4 linked regions of the Saccharomyces cerevisiae S288C genome follow. The gene in region 1 interacts genetically with each later gene. Each region holds a gene or a part of one and is shown on either strand. Other genes may lie near its edges.

Region 1 (3,540 bases):
AGTTTTATTCAGACGCACTCATTATCTTTGCTACATAACATTTCTCTCTGATTTGACTGCGCATCTTACCCCTCCCCCATGCATGTGGAGTCATAGGAGTAATTTTAAAGGTAGAATTTCATATTAAATATCGCTGCTTGATTATTTTGTAGCAAATCAAAAGAGTGTTTCAAGTAAGTAAAAACATTTGAGCCTCCCCATTTGTTGAAAGGAGAGAAATTAAACTTGGTTGGGGTTAATTATTTGATGGGTATATTAATTTGCAACCGCAAGGTATCGATAATAAATATTCTACAAAACCTTTATCAATAGTGGTGAAGTCTTTAGTGCGATCTACCTGGGGTTAATGAACGAGAAGTTCTTGAGATATCTTTCCTGTTTACCTCCGTGCATCCTGTAAGGAATTGGGTTTATCATTTATCATTTATTTTAGTACAAACTTTTTTTTTTGGCCCGGGCGCACTTTTTCAAGCGGTGGGAACTCATCAAAATGAAAAACTAGATACTTTTAGACTTATTAAATGGTTTAAATATTTTGAGATGTTCGTTATATCAGAAACTTCCTTACTTCTATCTTTTATTCCAATACAAAGAAGTCACAAGATTACTTGGTAAGAAAGAAGCAGTTAATTTTTAATTTTGCCGACAAGCCAAGATGCAAATTTTCGTCAAGACTTTAACCGGTAAGACTATTACCCTGGAAGTTGAATCTTCTGACACTATTGACAATGTCAAGTCCAAGATCCAAGACAAGGAAGGTATTCCACCTGACCAACAAAGATTGATCTTTGCTGGTAAGCAATTGGAAGATGGTAGAACTTTGTCCGACTACAACATCCAAAAGGAATCTACTCTACACTTGGTCTTGAGATTGAGAGGTGGTGGTAAGAAGAGAAAGAAGAAGGTCTACACCACCCCAAAGAAGATCAAGCACAAGCACAAGAAGGTCAAGTTGGCTGTCTTGTCCTACTACAAGGTCGATGCTGAAGGTAAGGTTACCAAATTGAGAAGAGAATGTAGCAACCCAACTTGTGGTGCTGGTGTTTTCTTGGCTAACCACAAGGACAGATTGTACTGTGGTAAGTGTCATTCCGTCTACAAGGTTAACGCTTAAGTAAAGTATTTTTAAAACTTATATATTTTAATTGATCGTTAAATTTTGAAAAAGGCTTTTAATATTGTCATTATTTACTTTTCTATTTACAACAAAAGAACAAATGAATAGATAGACAGTAGAGGAATATAAGTAGTATGCAGTGCCATGCGGGATCAAGGAATTTGTATCTCTAATTTTCGTGGTTGTATGCGTCTCTAAACAAGTCAATATTTTGCTGTAAGATGGTTCTGCCGCTCCTTTCAGTTCCTTTAAGAAGCGTACCTGCAGATATTTTAACATCCTCCATGGTTTCATTGACTTTACTGACAAGTTGATTGCTCAAGTCATCAACATGTTTTTCCCAATTTTCACTAAATACTTGCAAAACAGCATCGAATCCCATTTTACCCTTTTTAGCGTTCTCGCAAAACCTTTGAACTGACCAATCTTCCATCTTATTACACAGCTTTCTAATGGATCCATATGCTGTAATTTGGGCTTCCTGCTGGAAAAGTGTTTTATTAGCCGAGTCATCGGGATGCGGGCTATATGTTACAGTTTCGTAGACTTTTAATAGATTGCACATCGTTAAATTACAGCTTCTCATGGTCAAGCTCTTTTTATTTAAGTCTACCACAGAAACTTCTCTGACATGACTCATATTGGTCCCTCCTAGCATCATCATGATCCATTTGGGAACACCTTGTTTTACAGTAATCAACCGTTCAGTAACTAAGACCTTACCTTGATCCTTCAATTCTCTTCTTAAAACGTCCACTGCGATGACATGTGTAGATATTTCATTTGGGTATTTTTTCCAGTTAGCGGCGGTTACCTGGTCCCATGGATAGTTGAAATCGTAACTGTTTTGAAACAATTTCATTATCGTCTTTTAATTATTCTCGATTATTTTATCTTAGTCTGAAATCTATTCTTTCGTCCTATTGATGCTTAAATTCAAAAATATGTACATCACTTCGCATGATAATTTTATCGCCTATATATTCTTTACATTTTTCACATTCATTCCTTTTTACCGCTCTGACCAATCAACGTTGTGCCGATGCTCGCAAAAGATATTTTTGTCCGGGCAACGGCTTTTGCGACAGACGGTAATAATAGTAGGGCCCCTTGCCCCCTTCTCATCTTATTCTTCTCCTTTCTTCTTCATTCCATTGTTTTTTAGTGGTCCTAACTCAATACCCTTTCAAGATTATCGTTGCTCTCCATGGTGTCCATCACGGTCACATGGTGCAGTACTTCCTTCCTACTGCTCTCTGCGATGGAGCCATCGCACATAATCATCTCATTCAAGATATCGTAGACCTTACTGAAGTTAAATATAATGTCTAGCTCACAAACATTGCCGAAATATGTGTCCATTGTTTCGACAAACCGATGGATAATTTCCAAGGTCAGCAGTTCATTGTCAACATCGGGCGTCATCCCAACAATAAAATATAGACTAGCATATCGCTTGTATACTACTTTGTGGTCATTATACTCGATGATGTTACACATTTTGGGTTTTCTTGCTAATATCGTAGGTGTCAAGTCTTTCACAATTTTTGCCTTTTCACCAGCGGACATTGCCGTGTACCATTTCTTTAATCTGATTTTTCCTTGCCTAGAAACCAGCAACAAATATTTTAATTGCGTCATCTTGTGTACCTGTGTATCCGTATATAATCTCCTCCAGGATCGCTCTTGTTCTTGGCTGAAATTGTTGTTATAACTTCTTGTTCATTCATTGCCATTTTTACACATATCGTTAGGGCCCGATTCGTTTGGGATCGAATTGTTACCCGACTGAAAGGATCTATTCAATATACATTATAAAAAAGAAACTACACATGAGCGTGTGCATTACCTTTACTCGTCGCTGTCGTCTTCTGTGGGTGGGACCCATGCCGCAGGTTTGAAGTACTCTTGGTCATTTGCCACATCTTTCCCAAACTTTTCTTTGTCGTCGGCAAACTCTAGCAGGTATTCCAGCTCCAATTCATGACATTGTCTGCCGAGGATGACAAGCGAATGAAGTGGCTCTCCTGAATCGTAATTGGCTAACTCACTTATGGTACCAGACTTAAAGCTTTGGGAGCTCGAGCCTAATCTACTAATTGCGACTGCTGGAGTATCAGGAGTGTATGCCTTTGTACCTCTTTTCTCTTCAATTTCTAATAATTGTTCACAACATTGAGCGATAGACATGTATCTTGGTGGTTCGTAGATTAGTCTGCCACGGGCCATATTTTCAATGCTTTGTTCCTTAACTTTGATGTCCAATAACACTAAAGTATGAAGGCCAATTTTTCTATTTTCCCAGATCTTGTCGTACCATGAGTCTGGTCTCCAATTATCGGTAAAGAAAACCATGGAAACGGTTTGACCGAAATTGTATAGTTGTAGGCCACATGCCCCAACTGCATTCATAACGGACGCAT
Region 2 (4,178 bases), on another chromosome or scaffold:
TGAGCGTGGTTCAGGGCACTCTACGGGATCGTGGCGAATGGGAATCGTTCTGCAAGCTCTTCTACCAAACCATCGGCGAATTTGCGTCGCTTTAATGCGATACTGCCGTAGCGGGCCTTCGTATAGCTCGGCCGAGCTCGTACAAAAGGCAAGCAGTGTATCGGACAGAGCTGATATAACACAATACGCTCGTAGTCGATGCATGCCGTGGCTGCTCTCGGTCGGGTATAAGTCTTAGACAATAGTCTTACCTCGCATGTATAATAAATCTTTTGTATTTAATCTATTATATGTTTCTATGCTTTTTTTTCCTATTGTTGTTTGCTTTTCCTTTTCCTTATTTCTTTCTAGCTTCTAATTTTCTTTCTTTTTTTTTTTTTTTTCATTGAAAATTATATATATATATATATATCAGAACAATTGTCCAGTATTGAACAATACAGGTTATTTCGAACAATTGAAAAAAAAAAATCACAGAAAAACATATCGAGAAAAGGGTCATGTCTGCTGTTAACGTTGCACCTGAATTGATTAATGCCGACAACACAATTACCTACGATGCGATTGTCATCGGTGCTGGTGTTATCGGTCCATGTGTTGCTACTGGTCTAGCAAGAAAGGGTAAGAAAGTTCTTATCGTAGAACGTGACTGGGCTATGCCTGATAGAATTGTTGGTGAATTGATGCAACCAGGTGGTGTTAGAGCATTGAGAAGTCTGGGTATGATTCAATCTATCAACAACATCGAAGCATATCCTGTTACCGGTTATACCGTCTTTTTCAACGGCGAACAAGTTGATATTCCATACCCTTACAAGGCCGATATCCCTAAAGTTGAAAAATTGAAGGACTTGGTCAAAGATGGTAATGACAAGGTCTTGGAAGACAGCACTATTCACATCAAGGATTACGAAGATGATGAAAGAGAAAGGGGTGTTGCTTTTGTTCATGGTAGATTCTTGAACAACTTGAGAAACATTACTGCTCAAGAGCCAAATGTTACTAGAGTGCAAGGTAACTGTATTGAGATATTGAAGGATGAAAAGAATGAGGTTGTTGGTGCCAAGGTTGACATTGATGGCCGTGGCAAGGTGGAATTCAAAGCCCACTTGACATTTATCTGTGACGGTATCTTTTCACGTTTCAGAAAGGAATTGCACCCAGACCATGTTCCAACTGTCGGTTCTTCGTTTGTCGGTATGTCTTTGTTCAATGCTAAGAATCCTGCTCCTATGCACGGTCACGTTATTCTTGGTAGTGATCATATGCCAATCTTGGTTTACCAAATCAGTCCAGAAGAAACAAGAATCCTTTGTGCTTACAACTCTCCAAAGGTCCCAGCTGATATCAAGAGTTGGATGATTAAGGATGTCCAACCTTTCATTCCAAAGAGTCTACGTCCTTCATTTGATGAAGCCGTCAGCCAAGGTAAATTTAGAGCTATGCCAAACTCCTACTTGCCAGCTAGACAAAACGACGTCACTGGTATGTGTGTTATCGGTGACGCTCTAAATATGAGACATCCATTGACTGGTGGTGGTATGACTGTCGGTTTGCATGATGTTGTCTTGTTGATTAAGAAAATAGGTGACCTAGACTTCAGCGACCGTGAAAAGGTTTTGGATGAATTACTAGACTACCATTTCGAAAGAAAGAGTTACGATTCCGTTATTAACGTTTTGTCAGTGGCTTTGTATTCTTTGTTCGCTGCTGACAGCGATAACTTGAAGGCATTACAAAAAGGTTGTTTCAAATATTTCCAAAGAGGTGGCGATTGTGTCAACAAACCCGTTGAATTTCTGTCTGGTGTCTTGCCAAAGCCTTTGCAATTGACCAGGGTTTTCTTCGCTGTCGCTTTTTACACCATTTACTTGAACATGGAAGAACGTGGTTTCTTGGGATTACCAATGGCTTTATTGGAAGGTATTATGATTTTGATCACAGCTATTAGAGTATTCACCCCATTTTTGTTTGGTGAGTTGATTGGTTAACTACAGCTTATAAGGGAGAGAGGATAGGAACCGTCAAACATTAAGCTGCACCTTTTTTTTTTATTACAGAAGTCGGCTTGGAAGGCTTGTATAGTACATTACGATAAACACATCTTATTTTTATTTATTACTTATTTATTTTACATATTTTCAAAAAAATTCACATATCATTTATTATTAACCGAAGTGTTTTATACTTTTTGTTCTTTCCTTAAAAATGCCTCCAACAGAAAAGGAAAAATGGCTTGATATGCTTCAAAATATGCATTGAGATTCATATTCGGTTATCAATTAACGATATTACTTCCTTAAGTGATATTAAATCAAGCTTGCCGGATTCTGCAGTCAGAATTATACATAATAGTATTTGTGCTCTCGTAAATCCTTTCAGAATTACACCATAGTAGTCTTTGTGAATGTTCTACTTATTAGAATAGATTATTGCTAGTTTATCTCACTTTTCATTCCCCATATCCCTTTTTTTGCTCATCCCCCGGGGTATTTTATCAAGATAAAATTTTATATACATGCAGTGCGCGATAACTCCTAGAGAGGCAGTAATAGCAAAACAAAGACAGTATAAGCATTATTTGGGTATGGAAAGACCATTGTGGGTACGTTGGTTGAAAGTCTATGCAATTGGTGGCGCTATTATTGGAAGCGGGTTTCTGCTTTTCAAGTACACAACGCCAACAGATCAACAGTTAATCAGCCAGCTTTCCCCAGAATTACGTTTACAATATGAGAGGGAGAAAAAACTACGTCAGTCGGAGCAGCAGGCTTTGATGAAAATTGTTAAGGAAACTTCTCAAAGTGACGATCCAATTTGGAAGACGGGCCCCCTTCAATCACCTTGGGAAAGGAACGGTGATAACGTTCAAAGCAGAGATCACTTTGCTAAGGTGAGGGCGGAGGAGGTGCAAAAAGAAGAGTTGGCTAGGATCAGAAATGAACTGTCTCAGCTAAGATCTGAAACGGAGGAGAAAACAAAGGAAATAGTCCAGGATAAGCAGGTTAAAAGCTGGTGGCGCTTCTGGTAGATGGGTCGGGTCACTCAATTAGGAAGGGCAGCTTGAACTTTTGCATCCTAAAACATACGTCTGTGTCATTTATGATATATTATTTATTTGTACACTGTAAATAGGTTTAAAAATATAACTTCATACTTATTTTTAGCTATTTTAGTTCCCATACTTGGGGATGGAAAAAACATTGCGCAAGCCCGGAATCGAACCGGGGGCCCAACGATGGCAACGTTGGATTTTACCACTAAACCACTTGCGCTTGTTATTTATATGAGATTATTGCATCATGCAATGGGGTAATGTCAAGGTTCTTGACAATCCTAATATAAACAGTCTTAGGGAAGTAACCAGTTGTCAAAACGGTTTATCAGCTTGATTCACGGGATCTTACTTATCCTATATATTATATAAAATATGGATCATACTAAATGGTGGAAGCGCGGAATCTTGGATCTAAACCAATTGTTCAGATACTTATACGTTAGAGTAGGTTAGCTAAGGAAGGCAGAGTTTTATTTTCATGTTGCTCATTCTGTTCGTTTTGCTGTAAGGTTGTTTCATATGTGTTTTATGAACGTTTAGGATGATGTATTGTCATACTGAGGTATCCCATTCTGAGATACAACAGAGAAGGTTCCTTTATACTTACTACACTAGGTACCACTATTATAATTTCGAGATTTCATTGTCATTCGGGTTTATTTATTCATTTGAAGCCCAGAATGACAATTTTTATGAACGGAGCTCTTCAAATTACATTATAAAAGTATATACGAATATACCATGAAAGTAACACCTTCCGGTTCTCACTAAAAAACCTATTTTCAGCATTTATTTCTACTACAAGGAAAATGAGTCCGTTTAGTCATGCAAAATCTCTGCTCCGTACTACAGTTCTCGATGCTGATCTTGTTTTTTCATGTTTCTTTAAAATCTATTCATTTATACTATTTCGCGAATAAAGAAACTACATCTTCATCATCAATCCTGTGGTTTAAGCCGCACTTCTGAGGAGAATGTTTGGCAGAAGAACCCCAAACCAATGCGTATTTGAACTTATCTTTGAAATCCCTGTGGATACCATGACATAAGTCACCAATAGTGGAATTATTTCTTACCACTAGAGGATCATCAAATACTGGTCTAACACCTCTCTTCTTTG
Region 3 (5,845 bases), on another chromosome or scaffold:
ATATGCAGCATACGATATACAGAACAATTTGTTGGTATAAGCTTAGATTGTTGATATCCACAGTATTTAAGCCACCTTGTGTAACTGCGCCCGCTGCTAAAAACAATGTATCAATGTATCTGGTATTCTTAATGGGATATAGCAGGATTGAAGTTATTAATGTCAGGGATATCGTGTAGAAGTAGTGAACCGCGATAAAACTGGGGAAGATATATTTTTTAACTGGAGCAAAATAGTGACCACATAGAGCAATAAAATCACGAAATTTATGGCCGAAAGATTTTTTATATCGTATTTCAAGAGATGCCAATGTGGGCACTCTACTCATCGTTCTTCTAAAATGCATTGTTAGTTATCAAAAAAAGGTAATAACTTTAAGTAAAATGGATAGGAATGACTTCCTTGAGAGCCAATAGAATACCCTCCTTCTTTTTAAGGCAATACAAGTGTGGAATCAGTGATGCTAATGGTAAGGTAAAAACAATGGGCGAAAGGAAAGCAACAGTAACAAAAAGTTTCTAATAATGTAAGAGCTCTTTATCTTGATAGGTAATTATTTACTGTTTTCCGTGAAAGTAGCAAAATTTAGAAGTTAGGGTAAGATACAGGTATAGTTCCTGGTCCAGACTCCACATCTACTCTCAATAACGTGGATTTGAACTTTCAAAACACCTTTTATTTTCTCGATGATTTTGGACTTTTTTTTCTTTCCTAGCCTTGAGCCGTAAAGAGCGGAAAAACCATCAGACAATTCCAGAGCATTTTTTCTTTCTTGCGTTGTCAGCCCCGAACGTAAATAATTTCGAGGAGTCGATGGCCGTAGCAATAATCGAATAACACAATATATTGACGTCCACATCGCTTCACTTGCCGGTGCTTGAAATAACATCCCCTCAATACTCTGTCATAATTCGTGCCCTTTTTTAGGTTCGACAAAAGGAAGTCAGACGATATATATATATGAATATATATATATATATATGTCTATAACGAGTATAATGCAAGTTTATTACAATAAACATATGTATATGTAAGGTTTTTTTGTATTCGCCGCATCATTTCCACAGTAGCTTTTCGTCTGCTTTTTTTTTGTTGTTATATTCACGTGCCTGTTTGCTTTTATTTGGATATTAACGCTATAAACCACCCATATGTAATGCCGGTACATTTTTAGATAAACCATTCTCACCACGTTCCCGTAAGATTTTGTTGCGCCTTTCTAATCGTTCAGTGATATACTCACTCATGTGGACATCCTGGTTTCTGTATTTTACTAACCAAGGATGCTCTGTTAAAGCTGCGTATGTAGGTCTTCTTTCCGGAATCTTTTGTAGACATAAAGAAACAAAATCTTGTGCGTCAGAACTGAATTTATCTGAAGGTAATCTCGGTGGCGGCCCATCAACAATAGCGCTCAATTGAGAGAAAATGTTGTCGTATGTTTCTGGTGGATACGGATATCTACCTAGTGCCATTTCCAGAATGCTTAAACCTAAAGACCAGATGTCTGACTGTACGGTATAGGTGGCTCTATCTGGATTCAACGATTTGATTCGTTCAGGTGCCATGTATGACTGACAACCAATATTAGTCTTCGCTAAAGATGCCACCAAATTACCAGAAACACCGAAATCGCACAGCTTTACGGTGCCTTGGTTGGCTGAACATAAAATATTTGTTGGTTTGACATCTCTGTGTATGATATTATGCTGCTCTTTGAGTTCTTTTAGTCCATGAATGACAGCATTGGCAATAAACGCTAGCTGAGGTTCATCAATGCCGCCGATTTCAGATGATTCGTCGTATATTTTATCCAAGGAACCACCATCCATGTATTCCATACACATGTAGACGGCGCCCTCAATAAAGAATGCACCATAAAAATCCACAATATAGGGAGAATTGCATTTATGCAAAACTTCTAGTTCCATTAAAATTTGTCTAAATTTAGCCTCATCTAGCTCCAAACGGACTTCCTTCGTCGCCATAATAACATTTGTGGGCTTATGCAGTACCTTTGAGACGTTACCATAGTTACCATGACCCAGTTCATCCAAAAATTCTAGTTCGTCCAATGTAATTCTCGAACTAGAACCATTGCTGAAATCTATTCCTTTAGAGGATAGCGATAGTTTGCCTGCAAAATTCAAAGAGCCGGATTTGATATCCACGTATTTCGAGAAATTTGCGAAAAGACCACCACCACCACTACTACCAGAATTTGAAGAGTTGTTGCTGTTTCCAGTTCTGGGTGTAGTGCCTACAGTGTCATGTGGGCCTTCGGTACTTGATGAGGTGGATGTGCTTTGCACACCATTTATCAAAGAACCCGGATTCGATCTTTTCCCTTCAACAACTTTGCTGTTTGATAAGGTTTCTATATGTTTTTTGTTTGAAGGGCTTGGGGCAAACTGCTGCGGCTGTTGAGCTGTTTTAGTGGGCATTTTTAATGACATTCCTCCTGGTGGTAATTTGAGCCCTCGACGGGCACTTAAACTTTGTTTTGGTGTGTTGATTATAGCAGGGGCCTTATGCGGGGCAACATTTGGTCTTGTAGGGTGCTGGGTAGAAAGCGGCCTTCTTGGTGCCCTTCTGTTAGGATTCAGCAATTGCGCCTTATGTGTTGCTGATGCAGTATTAGAAACTGACGGCGTAATGTCAGTAGCAGGTAGGCCAGTATTTACACCAATTGTTGTGGCGGTAATTTTGGTTGTATCGATGTTAATATTTACGTCGGTAATGTTTTGTGTTTCTTGATTGTCCAGAACGTTCTTAAGAGTGCTCTTGGAGGACGCTTGCACGACTTGGCTACTCATTCTTTGTGAAACCTTAGAACTTCCTGCTACGGGAAGAGGCGGCAATGGCTTATTAACAATCTGCTGAATATGTTTAGGTGATTGTGAACTGCCTTTGTCTTGCTCGCTTTGATTACTGCCCACGCTGGCAGACCTTTTCAATGCACGTTGTTCTTGAAAAGCTTTTACACGAGCATGAAGGTCAGCGTTGATGTTATTGTAGTGCGAGGACGTCGAAGATGTTCTCTTGACAGCAGAGCCATTATCTGAGCCTGTTTGCTCGTTTAATTGGATAGATGACTTACCAGTTTTCTCATGGAGACTGAGGTTAGCAAACTTGTCTTCCATCTTTGAGAAATTAACGTCTCGATCTGCTTAATATAATAATGTATCTATAGAAATGTACGGAAAAACGGGTACTTTATCAGTTTTAGTTGTATGACGTTGATGTCTGGAGAAGGACAAGGAAAAAGTAGTTCTGTGAAACGTGTACCCACAATAGCAGCTACCCTTGTCTTCTTTTTTAGTAATTCTTTTCTTCCGGCAAGCAGGTAAGCAGTTATCTCTGTGTCCAGATCCCTTTGAAGTAAAGTTTATTCAATTTTCTATAGAACGTGTATGGCTCACGAAATCGCTCACTAGTAGACAACACACGTTAGAAAGATCCTTTCAGGTGCAACGGGACGCAGAGGGAAAAAACTGGAAAAATTGCCACTAATGAAAAGGCAAATAGAGGATGAAAAAGAAAAGGTAAATGCAGATGAAAGGACGAAGACAGATGCGATAAGAACAGCGTTTGAGATCGGATGCAAAGGATATAGTTTTGCTCTGGCACTGTGTTAGTGTGCTTGTGGGTGCTTTTTCTTCTATTTGCAAGAAAATGTGACCTTTGCGGATAACCTATATAAGACGGGGTTTCCTTGCTTTGAAAAGTTTAAAACAGATATTCTTGCAGATACAGGAGTACATACTTGTGCGATCATCACCAAGATAACAAGAGATTAATCAAATATAGAAACAGATATATAAAATAGATACAGAGTGCTACGCAATAAGATTTTTTTTTCCTGTTGCAATACTATACTACGTCTTGACATGAACTCTCAACAGTGATATTTCTGGGGAGTTGTATCGATGTGTAGTAACTGGTAGTAGTCTAGTAATGAGTTGTTCTCATGTTAGTGAATATTCTGTATGCTTCCGTGCCTGCTGCTATGCTCAAGGGGAACAGAAAAGCAACACGCTCAAAATAGTAATCTACATGAGAAACAAGACTTAGTCATTGCCTTTTGCCAGAATTGGCTTCGGCCGTAGCTGTTGAAGTTAATCCCGCAGTAAAAGACAAACGGCTCCGTATTCAGCAGTTCTATATATCACCTCATTAAGACACAGACGATCTTGACAGTTGCAGCAGAAACACGCCACCATATGTTCTTGTAGCTACACCACGATTGAGTGTCTGCACTCTTATTCAAGTGTTTCAACTAAAAATAAGTCTAAGCTGAAAGATTATTACTTTCATTTGATTTTTTTATTTTTGAAGCCCCATTTCCTTAAATCGTTCTCGTGGACGAGATTAAAAATAGAAATGATGTAGAGGAGATGCACTAAACATTGCCTCCCTGCACCGCACAATTACTGTAGCCATTGTGCTTATTTATATCTACCTATATATCTAAGCAGCTATATCATGGGCTTGACATACGCGACTTCTGCTTGCTTTTGTGCTCTCGTTCAAAGAGCAATTACTTCATTCCATCTCAAGAAGGACTGTTGCAGGTCATTATTTCATTTCTTACTGCACGTATTTCGATTGAGCTGCTAATGAAATCACAACACAACTACCCAAATAGCCTAAGAATTGGAAAAAGGCCCTTCTTGATAATTGGATCTGTTGAGTTGGCGTATGCAAAGCTGTAAATATTGAACGGATCTGGTTGAAAAAGAAAATCATGCTTTCTTTATTGTCGCGTAAACTGTACACTGCTGCAATTATCTAGCTGGCTGCTAGTAGCAATGTGCTCTTCGTTACGCTACCGTAGCTTTTCTCCGTGAGTGACTGATTTTGCTGCTGTACATTTAACTCCTTTTCTATTTAAATTGTGCGCTGCCATTTTCCGCATCGGAAAACCTAAGACAAATTTTGATGAGTATACTTGGTACGTGCCCACGCAGCCAATAGTGTCTCGTTCACGGCATCAGATACAGCAGTACTTAAAAGGGCACTGAGGATCAGGTTTCCTAATCTGGAAAATTTTGCAGCACAAAGCTTAGTTATTTATCTCCGATTATGGATTTCTGCAGTACCTAGGTTTCAACGTAAAACTGTAACAGAACCTTTCGTCATGCAAGCATAATTGAGTTGAGTGCCTTGTTTCCAATTTCAGTTTCCAATTTTACTTCAAAAATCACTTCTGAAATAAGATTTAAGACTTGTCAACCCTGTTCCAAAAGTGGACGCATCATTAAATGTACCTTTTTTCTGTACAAACTTTATAGTTTCTAGGGTTGGTGATGTGACCGTCTCTGGCAGAGTCGCAATTTAATAATAAATATTAGAATTGTGCTCTGTAAATGTATTAGATTCGTTGTTAACAATCTTAGTGACTGAATTCTCATTACCTTCACTGTTGTTCAAATCGATTTGTTGGCCAGTCACATCTTCACCTCGATGATTTATCTTCTGTTGTTGTTCCTTTTGGACCATTTCTAGAGCGGCCATGACGTTATCTTCGAGGCTCAACATAGCATCGTTCATTATAGTATGGTCATTTCTATCTAAATCGGGAACTGAATGGTTCATATCTCGTTCATCACGGTTGACGGGGTTCGCGTGATCCTGCGATTCGTTATTCGTTAAATGGGGTACAATTCCGTTGGAGGCAACATCCAAGTATTTTCGTCTTTTTCTTGAGTTTTCTTCCTCCACGAATCTATTGAAGGAATTCATTGACTGTTCGTCGTCCAATAGTGGCGTGCTCTGTATTGAGGAAAGAAACTCGGATCTTTTATTCGCTTCGTTGGCTTCAGCTGTTGTTGCGGGACTATTC
Region 4 (4,199 bases), on another chromosome or scaffold:
AAAAGACGATGGATATATATATAATAGTCGTATTTAAGATATAACAGATAAAAAAATAATACATTCACCACGCTTGTTAAAAAGCATGCCGTATATTTCCCATAAATTGAACCATATTCTTAATAGTCTAAAGATATCTTGGTCTTCTTTGCAGGTATATTATGTGAGATTTCATCCGAGTGCGAGTGTGAATGTGACTGTTCCGAGGCAGCTGAACCTTCAGCATCATCCACGGGTATGCCCCATTGTTCTATTTCAAACTTTTTTCTGCCATTCTTAAATGCCCATTCAGACTTTAAAACTCTCATCTCTCCACGGTCCGTGAAAACTGGTAATTTCAATATGTGGACTAGCCCATGTTGAATCTTCCCCGGTTGCGATTTATAAACACGTTCTAAGAACTCAGTCATCTCCTGGTTAAAGGGTTCTAGATTGATAACAGAATCGAACATGTTTCTCAGCAATACCAGTAATGGGGGAGTGATAATGTCTATGGATATGGAAGCAAACAGTACAACCCGCTCATAGTATTTCTTGACAAGACTCCTCACACCGTGCATTAAACCTATTATTTCAGATGATTCAAACATTTTGGGCGGATACATTGCCGGATGTAGAAGGGAAGGAATAACAATTCTTATCAGTTTCTTGTCATTCCTTTTAATAGTCTGTTCTATTTGGCTCAAAATAGTGGAGACAGGTTGAGTTGGGGCGATAAATGTCAGTTCAGATGCTATGGGAGCGGGCATCAGACGCGTTGTAATATCAAACTGATGATTGTAGTCCTTGTACTCAGAATTTTGTTGGATGTCATCTCGATCCGGAGAACCCAATCTCTTTTCATCTGCCAGTTTATATTTCCATGCAATTTTCAGGTCTTTGTACCTGGAAGGCGTCGATCTCTGGGTCTCGTTCAAATTTTGAACAGTAACTTTTGATTCTTCTTCAGAGATTAGGTTTTTCTTCATTTGTTTACGTGATCCCTTGTAGATACCAGGTAGCTCCTTTGCAAACATTTGGTTCAATGACAAGACAATGACATGAGTGTCGCCGTTTCTAGTTTTATCAGCACTGCTATCTGAAATTCTATTATGAACGATACCCTGTGCGGCAAACAGTTTACCGAGAATAGAGTGAAATTCTGTCGTGCTCTGCTCCTCTACTAGTACAGAGTTTCCCAGCGGCAGCCCCATATGGCCTAGTATACTGTCCAGGTCAGCACTCCCAGTTGATGTCGTCGGCTGAGAGGTTGCAGGAGAAGGTCTAACGCCCACATGGGAGCTATCCAGCCCCATTTTTGTCTTGGATTCGTCCGCAATATTCAACTTCTTTAATCTCGCTGTAGTGTCAGACAAGGGCACATTTCCAGGGGCTCTTCTGTTGCCTGTCCTCAATGGCGTTGAGGAAGTTCGTGGAGGACCTCTTAACAGTGGACCTCTTAGCCCGCTACCTCTATCGTTCAGTATTTCACCTCTTTTACGAAATGACATGGTACATGCGATATTTGGGAGCCGAATTTGTTATACAATGTTGTTCTCTGCACCTCATCTCTAAACTATCCAGCCTCATCGACATCTTCATATGTCGTTTTTGTTATTTTAACAGTTTAGAGTTCATTCCATGCGCTTTACCCGGTCTGGCGTCAAAAGCCATCAATAACATAGCTACTATTGCGTCTGAGAGAAGTCGACCATAGGGAAGAACTTGCCATCTGGTTTTGAGTTAGTTAGAATTATCACTATTGAAGATAGCCCAGCAAAATGCTTGTGCAAGAAAGCACATCGTCTAGTGGCCTTTTTTGAAGAAAGAATTGGAACTACTTTAGAAATACATTTACCACAGTGAGTATATGACACTGATATTCTCCTTGATTATCGCCCAAAATACATTGTAGGCTTCAAAAAGATTAAAATATCAATTAAAAGAGAGAGAATAAATAGGTTAAGGCCCAAATTACAATAGCGGCCTCCTATTTGTCTTTTCCATTCGATGCGATATTTATCAGTATTATATGAGAACAAATGGTGGTATTATAAAAAAAAAATATTATAATGAGATATATGTCTGATTTTAATAATAAACTTTTTAGCTAATGATTCCTTCTGCGTTCATTTTCTGAATATTATCAACAGCTGCTAGTTTTTTTTTTCCTTTACTGTCGTTAAGCAGTTCCCGAAGACTCACTACTGATGCTTAACAAAAAAAAAAAAACGTAGTTCGAGAATAGCGAGAATATGGTGTGAACAGTAGCACTCCAATTACTGAAGGATTGCATGCCTGCTTGTGTTGCAAATGAATTTTGTTACCTGCCATGTTCAGATGAGGCTTCTTCTCCAAAGGAGACTAGTGCGTTTACGAGAATCAGAGCTGTTTAGACCCCAGACATCATTGTCAACTTTCAAAAGACATGCTTCGCAAAAGACACGCCCTATACAAAAATGCTCGAGAAAATACGCACGTATACTTCTGTTGTCTGTTTTGGTACCTTACACAGGATATGCGTTTTATGTATCATTGGCTACAGTGAAGCAAATTGATTTAAGAAACGAAATGTGTCAAAGATTAGAGGAGAATAATAACGAGGTCACTTATAAGGGATCCTTGCTAAAATATAGCCCTTTGGAAGTTTTAGGCAGATTTGAGAACCCGTTCGAAGAATACAGGATTCAGACCGTTTTTGAATTCTTTGCAAATAGAGTGTTCGAATTATTTGAAAGAAATAGGGGAGGTATTCCACGTGATGTACACCAAATGAATAAGTTAATGCCTGTACACAAGCCAACATGGGGGCCTAACTTAGTGGACGTCGACCCCGCAGAGGAAACGGCATTGCCGCTAGAATGCAAAGTGTTAGACGAATTGCACATACCGACTGCAGTAGAAGAAAATGAAGGATCAAAGTGCCCAGTCTATAACACATGGCTGGGCCAGTCCTGTAACTACACGGTTTATAATGGATTGAGGATACTTACTGATCCTCTGTTCAGTGACTTTCTTATCCACAAGACCCTGGGTCCTAAAAGAATTACTCAAATGCCATCTCAAATTACAGAGGTGCCCAAACCAGATATCATCCTTGTATCCCATAATCACCCCGATCACCTGGATTTAGAAAGCTTGGAATACTGGAGTGGCAAAGACTCTCCCTTATGGATAGTACCTAAAGGAATGAAATCTTATATGACAAGTAACGGCTGTGATAATGTCCTAGAATTATCTTGGTGGGAAACTTTGCAAGTAAAGAAAAACAATGAGATATACCACATATCGGCTACTCCTGCCATGCATTGGTCTGGGAGATCGCTCTTAGATACGAACAAGTCTCTATGGTGCTCCTTTTTATTAACACACCATGGTAATCCCATACTTTTTCATGCTGGTGACACTGGATATGTGAAAGATTTATTCGTTAGAATTAAAGAACGCTTTGGCAAAGGTTGTAAATTAGCGCTGCTTCCATGTGGTCAGTATTGCCCTGAGTGGCACCAAAAACCACGACATATTAATCCTCAAGAGGTTCTCAAGATTATGAAAGATCTAGAAGCTCGAAATGTATTAGGCGTTCATTGGGGGACCTTTGTATTAAGCGGAGAATATTTCTTAGAGCCAAAGGAAAAATTAGAAATGTTGGCCGAGTGGGGTGGGTTTAAAGACCGCTGCTACTGTCCAGAATTGGGCAAGACAGAATGCTTCGACTAACTTAGGCGCTAATATTTAAGCTGCAGCGTCCCTGTAAATAGCGATAAATTACAGTAAACGTAGACTTTGGGAGATTGTACTCACTGAACATTTTATGATTTAATGATTTTGTAATTTAAAAACATTCGTATGATATCCAATAAGATGTTATAAAGAAATTACAATTAATGTTGATAAAAAATCAATTCAAGTAATGGATATCGATTTGTTATTTCATCTCTTCATATACAAGGCAAACAAAATAGGTATAATATTTACAAGAAAAACCTACATACTGCAGCCACACTAAGATTCTCTCACATCTAGGTAACATCAACTTCTGCTCATTTTTTTGAATTACTATACTTGATATTGTAAGGTTCCAGAATGCTTTCAGGTATCACACTTGGACTCTTGACAACCAAATCAGCCCCGGTAATACTTTTTGGGAAGGCGATTACGTCCCTTATACTCTCAGTTTCACAGATCATAGCGCACATACGATCAAAACCAATAGCAAA

Evidence for each region.
Region 2: mutations in UPS2 (region 1) and CBP4 together harm fitness more than expected from each alone (negative genetic interaction), as found in Saccharomyces cerevisiae (2 studies listed by BioGRID).
Region 3: mutations in UPS2 (region 1) and PBS2 together harm fitness less than expected from each alone (positive genetic interaction), as found in Saccharomyces cerevisiae (2 studies listed by BioGRID).
Region 4: mutations in UPS2 (region 1) and FMP30 together harm fitness more than expected from each alone (negative genetic interaction), as found in Saccharomyces cerevisiae (3 studies listed by BioGRID, with this or other methods).

Annotation. Positions count from the first base shown.
Region 1 is NC_001144.5:498,292-501,831, forward strand, and holds UPS2 (Ups2p), read right to left. Parts: upstream 1,980-3,540; coding exon 1,287-1,979; downstream 1-1,286. Other genes in the region: ubiquitin-40S ribosomal protein eS31 RPS31 fusion protein, read left to right, coding at 656-1,114; APS1 (Aps1p), read right to left, coding at 2,288-2,758; DPH5 (diphthine synthase), read right to left, coding at 2,969-3,540. UniProt on the Saccharomyces cerevisiae protein: Required for mitochondrial cristae morphogenesis and MGM1-processing. Controls the stability of mitochondrial phosphatidylethanolamine (PE). With UPS1, controls the level of cardiolipin in mitochondria.
Region 2 is NC_001139.9:844,746-848,923, reverse strand, and holds CBP4 (Cbp4p), read left to right. Parts: upstream 1-2,518; coding exon 2,519-3,031; downstream 3,032-4,178. Other genes in the region: ATF2 (alcohol O-acetyltransferase), read left to right, coding at 1-95; ERG1 (squalene monooxygenase), read left to right, coding at 501-1,991; YGR174W-A (uncharacterized protein), read right to left, coding at 2,183-2,269; RBG2 (Rbg2p), read right to left, coding at 3,964-4,178.
Region 3 is NC_001142.9:176,961-182,805, forward strand, and holds PBS2 (mitogen-activated protein kinase kinase PBS2), read right to left. Parts: upstream 3,144-5,845; coding exon 1,137-3,143; downstream 1-1,136. Other genes in the region: TRK1 (Trk1p), read right to left, coding at 1-346; MCO6 (Mco6p), read right to left, coding at 4,591-4,749; SPT10 (Spt10p), read right to left, coding at 5,338-5,845. UniProt on the Saccharomyces cerevisiae protein: Kinase involved in a signal transduction pathway that is activated by changes in the osmolarity of the extracellular environment. Activates the MAP kinase HOG1 by concomitant phosphorylation at 'Thr-174' and 'Tyr-176'.
Region 4 is NC_001148.4:357,500-361,698, reverse strand, and holds FMP30 (N-acetylphosphatidylethanolamine-hydrolyzing phospholipase D), read left to right. Parts: upstream 1-2,292; coding exon 2,293-3,699; downstream 3,700-4,199. Other genes in the region: Elongator subunit ELP4, read right to left, coding at 120-1,490; aspartate--tRNA ligase MSD1, read right to left, coding at 4,023-4,199. UniProt on the Saccharomyces cerevisiae protein: Hydrolyzes N-acyl-phosphatidylethanolamines (NAPEs) to produce N-acylethanolamines (NAEs).